Arabidopsis thaliana: one gene and its partner. The protein of the gene in region 1 interacts with the protein of each later gene in a biochemical or structural test. Each region holds a gene or a part of one and is shown on either strand. Other genes may lie near its edges.

The links.
Region 2: the proteins of MEF19 (region 1) and MORF1 form a complex in vitro, tested with the Arabidopsis thaliana proteins (one study listed by BioGRID).

Annotation. Positions count from the first base shown.
Region 1 is NC_003074.8:1,493,184-1,497,231, reverse strand, and holds MEF19 (mitochondrial editing factor 19), read left to right. Parts: upstream 1-1,850; coding exon 1,851-3,548; downstream 3,549-4,048. Other genes in the region: AT3G05250 (RING/U-box superfamily protein), read right to left, coding at 1-157, 289-350, 474-586, 793-848, 940-1,019, 1,099-1,193, 1,480-1,597; AT3G05230 (Signal peptidase subunit), read right to left, coding at 3,780-3,905, 3,987-4,048.
Region 2 is NC_003075.7:10,843,847-10,848,326, forward strand, and holds MORF1 (multiple organellar RNA editing factor), read right to left. Parts: upstream 2,302-4,480; 5' UTR 2,240-2,301; coding exon 1,872-2,239; intron 1,654-1,871; coding exon 1,556-1,653; intron 1,467-1,555; coding exon 1,401-1,466; intron 1,315-1,400; coding exon 587-1,314; 3' UTR 556-586; downstream 1-555. Other genes in the region: PTAC9 (plastid transcriptionally active 9), read left to right, coding at 15-143; AT4G20030 (RNA-binding (RRM/RBD/RNP motifs) family protein), read left to right, coding at 2,516-2,651, 2,909-2,977, 3,068-3,174, 3,254-3,400; AT4G20040 (Pectin lyase-like superfamily protein), read right to left, coding at 3,502-4,480. UniProt on the Arabidopsis thaliana protein: Involved in organellar RNA editing. Required for the processing of numerous RNA editing sites in mitochondria. Binds to the mitochondrial MEF19 and MEF21 factors, two pentatricopeptide repeat-containing proteins involved in RNA editing.

The DNA of each region.
Region 1 (4,048 bases):
GTTTAGTCCCGCGGCCAGAAAGAGTTCAAGTTCATCCACAAATCGGTCTGTTCTCGCCATTACAAATGGACGTGCTGCTTCTGAGACAACTGCTTTGAATTGTTCTTGATTTGTTGTCTCTGCGCTTCTTGTTTCTTGTTTGCGTCTCTGTTTGATTCTGAATATGAGAGAAATAGAGACTATTCATGAGCAAAACATCAAACTTCTACTTTGACCAGTTAAAACTCTAGCCAATCAAAATATATACCCACGAGTTCTAAGTTTTTACATTCTCCTTAAAACAATTACCTTTTGCAGAAGGATTCCATCACACCGACCAAATGATGCAGAACAATATCAACATCTTCCTCCTATAGACAAGGGAAAAAATTGAAGCAAACAAAGAACAAAATCATCTTTGCGAACAACTGAACAAGAAGATAACAGCAAAAAGGCAGAAATATCCATGAAAGGGATTTTGTACAGAAGCAAACCTGCATCAGAGCTTGAAGCTCCCTCCTCAACCAGGCTTCAAGGCACCGGTTCGGCTGGAGAAACTTTTGCAGCTTCCAAAACCGTGCAACATCGAATACATCGGCGAGGAAACCTGGTTAAGACCACAAAGAGACCGAGAAAGAGAAGGGAATTCTTGTAAAACTTTCATTCTTGATTGATAAACACATTTGAATCTACTTTCTATCAGTTTATTATTCCAAACTAAATCGAGTAACGGATTCCCAACTATTGTAATGGTATTGAATATTATGCGCAAGTGTGTTTTGATCTCAAAGTAAGTGCAGAGAAGGGAAAAACCTGATTCGGTGTAGTAACACTGCAACCTGTATCTCTGTTCTTTTGTTAATACAAAACTGAAAACAAGAAGATGAAAGTAGAGTAAGATATCACGAAATTCTCAGAACACATATATATTCAAATCAAGGAAACCACAAGCTAACCTACCCATCTGGAATATTCGGGTCGATATAATGCCGCTCAAAAGAACATCCATCGTAGTTGTGGATGATGGATAAATTCTCTGTCTGCATAAGTTATGGTCATTCCTGTAAACAAGTTCTTCAAGGTGTTGTGAGCAGAAAAGAGCGTTTCCAAGAAGCAGACCTTACAGAGAGGACATGTCACTGAGGAACGTTGCTTAGAGGCCTTGCTTGAAACAACTTTGATCCATTGTTTTATACAATTGAAACAAAACTTGTCTGCAACAAAACATAAAATCAAAACAAACATATATGTTCTAATCAGTTCATGGACGAAGGTCTCAGTCATTACCTTAACCATAAACCTACTATGGTCTATCTAAGATACACAAGAGCTAATCAATCTAATCTCTTTTTGGAATTAACTAATCAATCTGATTAAATTGTTCACAGAAAAAAAAGATTGAATCTTTGAATACACACTCAAAACTTCAAATTCTAGATGAAATCAAGAAGCATCTAACCACAAGTTTTAACAGAAAACTGAAAAAGAGAAGAAGCGTACGGAAACAGGTATCAAGGTAGGATTCACGGAGGAATTGTCCAAGGCAAATAGGACATGGATCAAAATCGGATCCATCGTCAATAGAACCGCTCCCGCCGGCGATCTCCTTCGCCGCCATACCAACTCACTGACTCAGGTCTCTCTCCGCTTGGCGCTGATTCAGCGTTACGGCGTCGTTGTGACTAAACACAGGTTATATTTTTCTTTTGTTGAAACTTTCAAAATAATCCTTAAACTCTTTCAACATTCAAAATAAACCCAAACTATTTTAAATTACCAAAATTTACCCGTCACTTTGATGAGTTTTTGTTTGTTATGGTTCCAGAATTAAAAAAAAACATTGCCTTTGAATTTCATGATAATCAAAGAATATGATGAAGAAGCACTACAAACCAATTCTCTCTCAGCTAGAGAATTGCAGATCATTGGTGGAACTGAATCAACTCCATGGTTTAATGATCAAATCCTCAGTTATCAGAAACGTCATTCCTCTAAGCCGACTCATAGATTTCTGCACTACTTGTCCTGAGACTATGAATCTCAGCTACGCGAGATCAGTTTTCGAAAGTATCGATTGTCCAAGTGTTTATATATGGAACTCTATGATCAGAGGCTACTCAAACAGTCCAAATCCAGATAAAGCATTGATCTTTTACCAAGAAATGCTTCGAAAAGGTTATTCTCCGGATTATTTCACTTTTCCTTATGTTCTTAAGGCTTGTTCTGGGTTAAGGGATATTCAATTCGGGAGTTGTGTTCATGGGTTTGTTGTGAAAACTGGGTTTGAAGTGAATATGTATGTTTCTACTTGCTTGCTTCATATGTATATGTGTTGTGGAGAAGTGAATTATGGTTTGAGAGTTTTTGAGGATATTCCTCAGTGGAACGTTGTTGCTTGGGGAAGTTTGATTTCTGGTTTTGTGAATAACAATCGGTTTAGTGACGCTATTGAGGCGTTTAGGGAGATGCAGAGTAATGGTGTGAAGGCAAATGAGACAATAATGGTGGATCTTTTGGTTGCTTGTGGTAGATGTAAAGACATTGTGACTGGGAAATGGTTTCATGGGTTTCTTCAAGGATTAGGCTTTGATCCATATTTTCAGTCCAAAGTTGGATTCAATGTGATTTTGGCTACAAGTCTCATTGATATGTATGCTAAATGTGGAGATCTGAGAACTGCGAGGTATCTGTTCGATGGAATGCCTGAGAGAACCTTGGTTTCTTGGAACTCCATCATTACAGGGTATAGTCAGAACGGTGATGCAGAGGAAGCACTGTGTATGTTTTTGGATATGCTTGATTTGGGTATAGCTCCTGATAAAGTAACCTTTTTGAGTGTTATCAGAGCTTCCATGATCCAAGGATGTTCACAATTGGGACAATCGATTCACGCTTATGTATCGAAAACCGGCTTTGTGAAGGATGCTGCCATAGTTTGTGCACTTGTAAATATGTATGCTAAAACCGGTGATGCTGAGAGCGCAAAAAAAGCGTTTGAAGATCTGGAGAAGAAAGATACAATAGCTTGGACCGTTGTGATCATTGGGTTAGCCAGTCACGGCCACGGGAATGAAGCATTGAGTATATTCCAGAGGATGCAAGAGAAAGGTAATGCTACACCTGATGGAATCACATATCTCGGGGTCTTATATGCGTGTAGCCACATAGGTTTAGTTGAGGAAGGACAGAGATACTTTGCAGAAATGAGAGATCTTCACGGCTTAGAACCAACAGTTGAACACTATGGATGTATGGTTGATATCTTGAGCCGTGCTGGTCGTTTTGAAGAGGCAGAGAGATTGGTAAAGACTATGCCGGTAAAACCCAATGTTAATATATGGGGTGCATTGTTAAATGGTTGTGATATACATGAAAATCTCGAGCTCACTGATCGGATAAGATCCATGGTTGCTGAGCCAGAAGAACTTGGTAGCGGAATCTATGTTCTTCTATCTAATATATACGCCAAAGCTGGCCGATGGGCTGATGTTAAGCTAATTAGAGAATCCATGAAGAGCAAAAGGGTAGATAAAGTTTTAGGTCATAGTTCTGTTGAAACAATGTTCTAATTCAGGGTCCTACTTGACCTCGTTATAAACCTTATTTTAAATTAAGAGGTCGTGATTTTCACCTCATTAACAACTAATTAAGATCACTAAAAAGAATAGTTTTGTTTGATTCTAAGAGAACAATAGTACTTTTGAATTAGTTTTCTTTGGAATAAAAGAAAGTCTAAAACTTTTCAGAAAACTGAAATACAAAAAGTCTTGGACTAGGTTTGATGTTTTATTCAATCTTCATCATCTGTATGCATCTGGTAAACTGTAACCAGGCAAGACTATCTTGTCAGCAAACATCTTCCCGGTCTTGGGCATGACATGCCAGTGTAATGTCAAGTTGAAGTCTTTGCCCCGAAGATTCTGTCCCTGAAAAATCCCAAATGATGATCAGTTTCCGTTTCTGACGAAGTAAAAACGCAGAAGACTTGTCCAGCTTGTTTACTGTACCTGATCGATGAAACGGTACTTGTTTGAGACTTGAATCCGGAATTTGGCATGTTCCTTGGCAG
Region 2 (4,480 bases), on another chromosome or scaffold:
TTTTTGTTTTGAAGAGAAATGCAAAAGCCCCTGATTTCAAGCACAAGGAGACAGGTGAAGCACTGTGGCTAAACGAGTCTCCTACTTGGGTATTACCGAAACTGCCACCAGTCAAGAAGAAACAAGAAAGTATTGTCTTTTAGCTTTAGAAACATTATCTCCATGTAAAGAGCTCCAAGTGTTTACAAAATTCATCATTTCTATTCAAAGTGGTCTTCAAAGTTCCGTTTGATTTTTGGTTAGTAGACTGAATACAGTAGCTACAAGTGTGGACGATTCCAAATGTCTCAGGTAAAGCAAGCATATTAGGTCTTAAAAGAACTTCTAGAAAGAGTGTTTCAATTTCACAAGCGCAACCAACAACGTTAACAAGCTCAACTTAAGAGAAAAAAGGACTAACTATTGTCTTACAAAGTAGAAAGATGACTAAATACTATTTACTGTAAAACTTAATAAAAGGCCTTTGACACTTCTCTCCTTATTCAGCTCAATTCACTGCAGCATGCTCTCTGTCTAGTACCTTCTTCCCTGTGGAAACTGAAACACAGGACCATCTCAGTAACAAATATGGGGAAAATGGGGTACTTTAATGCCTGATGAGGATATCAAAAAAGAAAGATGCAAGATTCATTATTGATCGAGATCTTACTTGGTCAGACCCGGGCTGGCCTGCTGGATTATTGTTGTTCCAGTCTCGATTCCTCTGATCTGCCTGTGGGAATGTCTGATTCTGCTCTTGTCCTGGTCCAGAATACCCCTGACCATAGCCAGGATTTCCAGCTCCAGGTGCAGGACCTAAGTTTCCAGCTCCAGATGCAGGACCAAAGTTTCCAGCTCCCTGTGGATTGTAATTCCTAGGTCCTCCTTGGTTGTAACCACCTTGTGGCCCTTGACTATAGTTCCCAGATCCACCTTGACCGTAACTGCTTTGTGTTCCTTGGTATGGAGGCACTGGAGATCCCTGGACTTGATTGTAACCTGCCTGATATGGAGGCACTGGAGATCCCTGGCCTTGATTGTAACCTGCCTGATATGGAGGTGGTGGAGATCTCGGGCCTTGGTTATAACCTCCTTGAAATGGTGGAGGCGCTTGAGTTCCCTGACCTTGTCCTGGAGTGGCATAGCCCTGTTGAGGACCATAGCTCCCTCCACCACCTTGCATTGGTGGTTGCTGACCATACTGTGTGTTTCTTTGGAAGTTTTGGGGACCACCACTTCCTCCTCCTGAACGGTCAAATCTAGGACGAGGTCTTGCTCTGCCACTCTGAATCGGTGGTGGCCTGTGTGTTATCACTCCATTCTCGTATTTATCTCCTGAAAACAAGAAACATAATTTTGTTGATAGAGTCCCAACAACAAATATCCAAAATAAGACCAGTTTGTAAAAAAAACCAGCTCACCTCCATACTCTTTGTTCTGGGGATCAATGTAGGAATCTGGCAAGATGAAAACCACTCCGGGTAGATCTGTTTACATATACCAATAACAGAGTCAATATCTGGTGAAAAAAGTTGAATTCAAAAGAAAACAAACATAAATGATTCGAACTATATACCCTTGAACTTTTCTGATTCTTGTTCAGTCATGATTGCTTGAAATCCTTGGTAAGTAGTTGTGCTACAAGCATACATCCTTTGCTTAGCCTCTTCCACGCTGACTCAACCATAAACACCAAAAATGAATCAATATAATCGTCTTAACCAATATCAATACCAGAAGAAGATACACAAAAATCAAAGCAGAGCTATATAACAGTGAATGGAACCCTAGCAATGGTAAAGTTCTCACATTTAAGTAACTTACTGAATGATTTTTGGACAATTTAGCCAAAAGCAACGAATCTAAGCAGTGACAAAAATTCATCTACTAACCTGATGCCAAGTCCTTGGGCGCAAGTTTCTTCATAAGCAGCGACCATTTCTTCTGGAGACTTAGGAGTTTCCTCTTTGGAGAAATCCATAGTGATAAGCCAGTGATTATAATCACATCCTTCGAACAACACAGTGTCTTCCGTGATCTCATCACCTTCTTTGTAAAGCTTGTACTGCCTCGTTGAAAACAGTCTCGCCGGTGCTCGAGTAGCTACTTCCGTCGAACGCCCTATAACGGATCTCTTTAACACCGCCGCCGACACAGAAGGGAAATCAGACGCTGGTGTGATCGAAGAGCTAATTGATCGGTTAACATAGGAAGTCGCAGTGAGTAAAGCTCGTCGGAGACGGTGAGATATCATAGCCATCGTTGCCAGAGAAATTATGAAGGAGTGGAGAGTATTCTGGAAAGCTTTGGAGAAATGAAATTAGGGTTTTTGTGTGGGTTTTACAATATCTAAATAAATAGTAAATTACTTTTTAAGTCCTTATTGTTTCAAATGTTTTTAGTTTCCGCCTAAAGTTTCAAATTTATCACTGGGCCAAAAAACTTAGGCCTTAGCTTTTTACTATACCGCTGTCGTTTTATAACTCTCTGTTTGTTTCTTCTTCTTCTCCCTCTCTATTTCCGGCGACTGTGAATTATGTGGTCGGCGACGTTATCTTTCCCTTCTTTTGTGGCTTCTTCATCTTCTCTACCTAATTACAGGAACCTTAGGTTTCCAAAGATTAAAGCTTCGCTCTTTAATTACCCTCTAGCGAGCAAAATCATGGTCAGAAGTAAGATTCAGATTATCTTTTGGTTTATATTTGAATTCGCTTCTAGCTGAGATTAGGACATGGTTCTGTTATTGTTCCAAAAGTAATTTATGATTCTGGTTTGATTGAAATTAGTTGATTTGAGTCAGGATTGTGACGGTAGTCATATGTGATAGCTCTAAGCTCTTGTAGCAATCATTAGTGAAGTTGAAGTTGGTTGTAACTTCAACTTGGTAATTACTCTACGGTTCTGATGTTTCTTCACTTTGAATTTGTAGATTTACCGTTTTCTACAAGTGAAGATTTTCTAAAGAGAGAGTTTTCAGCTTTTGGAGAGATAGCTGAAGGTATGTTTGCGGTTTCAATTTTACTCTGTTTTGTTGCTTTAAGGTTCAGTTTTATGGCATTGATATGTTCACTCTTATACTTCAAAACAGTTAAGCTTATCAAAGATGAGGCAATGAAGAGATCAAAAGGTTATGCTTTTATTCAATTCACGTCTCAAGATGATGCTTTTCTTGCCATAGAGACCATGGACCGTCGGGTAAAAGCTTCTTTCAATCACAAGTTTACATTTTTATGTCTTGAAATCAACCTAAATGTTTCCCATTCCTCTGTTGCAGATGTACAATGGCAGAATGATTTATATAGACATTGCGAAACCAGGTAAACGTGATTTCCAAGGACTGCCTAGGACTTCTGGTCCACCTGAGAAGTCGGATGAGCCAGAAGAAGCCGCTAATGATGAGGTTGCTGATTGCTGGTATTAGTTGTTAGTATCAAGCTCACCAAACTGTAACTGAACTTGTATAAATCAGATGTCAAATCATGCTTTCTTATTAGGAATATGATCAATGTGAAGAATGTTGTTTTACTGATAAGCAATTATTGACACGGTTCCAGTTACAGCTCTATCGGTTTCTACAACCACCATATTGTTGGAGACATTGGTCACTGCATTTGCAGGGATCTGTCCGGATTGAGCGAAAAACGAATGCTGGTAATGGTTTATCCGGTTAGGGAATACCAAAACAGGGGAAAAATCAGCGATCCATCGTGTTCCATTTGCGGAAACCATGGCCTTTCCGGTTGTTGATTTCAGCATCATCCCTTCTGCATTGTTTTGATCAATCACAACTTGATTAATATCATGAAACTCTCCTTCTAGCTTGACAATCGGGAAGTTGTTTTTGGCGGTACCGCTAAACATGTTGTTGACGATGTTTACACCGGAAATCTTCCCGTGTACCGATCTCAAGACGATGTTTGCATCTCCTAAGAACAAAGCATTGGTGACATGAACATGGACAGGGTCTTCTATGACTATACCTGTGTAATCAAGGTAACAATTATCTATCCTCGTTAAATGTGATTTCACTAGAATGCCAATGCCACCAAACCATGTAGCTTTATTGTAGCAATGCACACCCGTAACCATATTTGCACCACCATTCAAAGAGATACCGATACCAGCCGAGAAAATCACTACATCCGTAATGGCATTGTCGTTACTCGAGATATCGATTCCTGTCCCAGTAAATCCTCTTTCTTCTCTGTCTCCTCCTACCGTTGAATGTTGCCCCAAGAAGGAGTTTGAAATGTATGTCTCATGACCTCCTTGGACTTTAATCCCTTGCGTTGTGAAATGGAGGAAATAACAATTGGTTATACGGATACGAGCTGAGTCAATCACCAAAATACCACCTCCTCGGAATCTTGAGTCGAAGAGAACATCTTGGAAGGTCACATCCTCATAGAAGATCCCAGAGCTCTGGTCTTTCTGATCGGAGAAAGACTCCTCTGGCGACATTTTCATTGGTTTCTTAGCGTTTGATGCTACAAGCTCAACT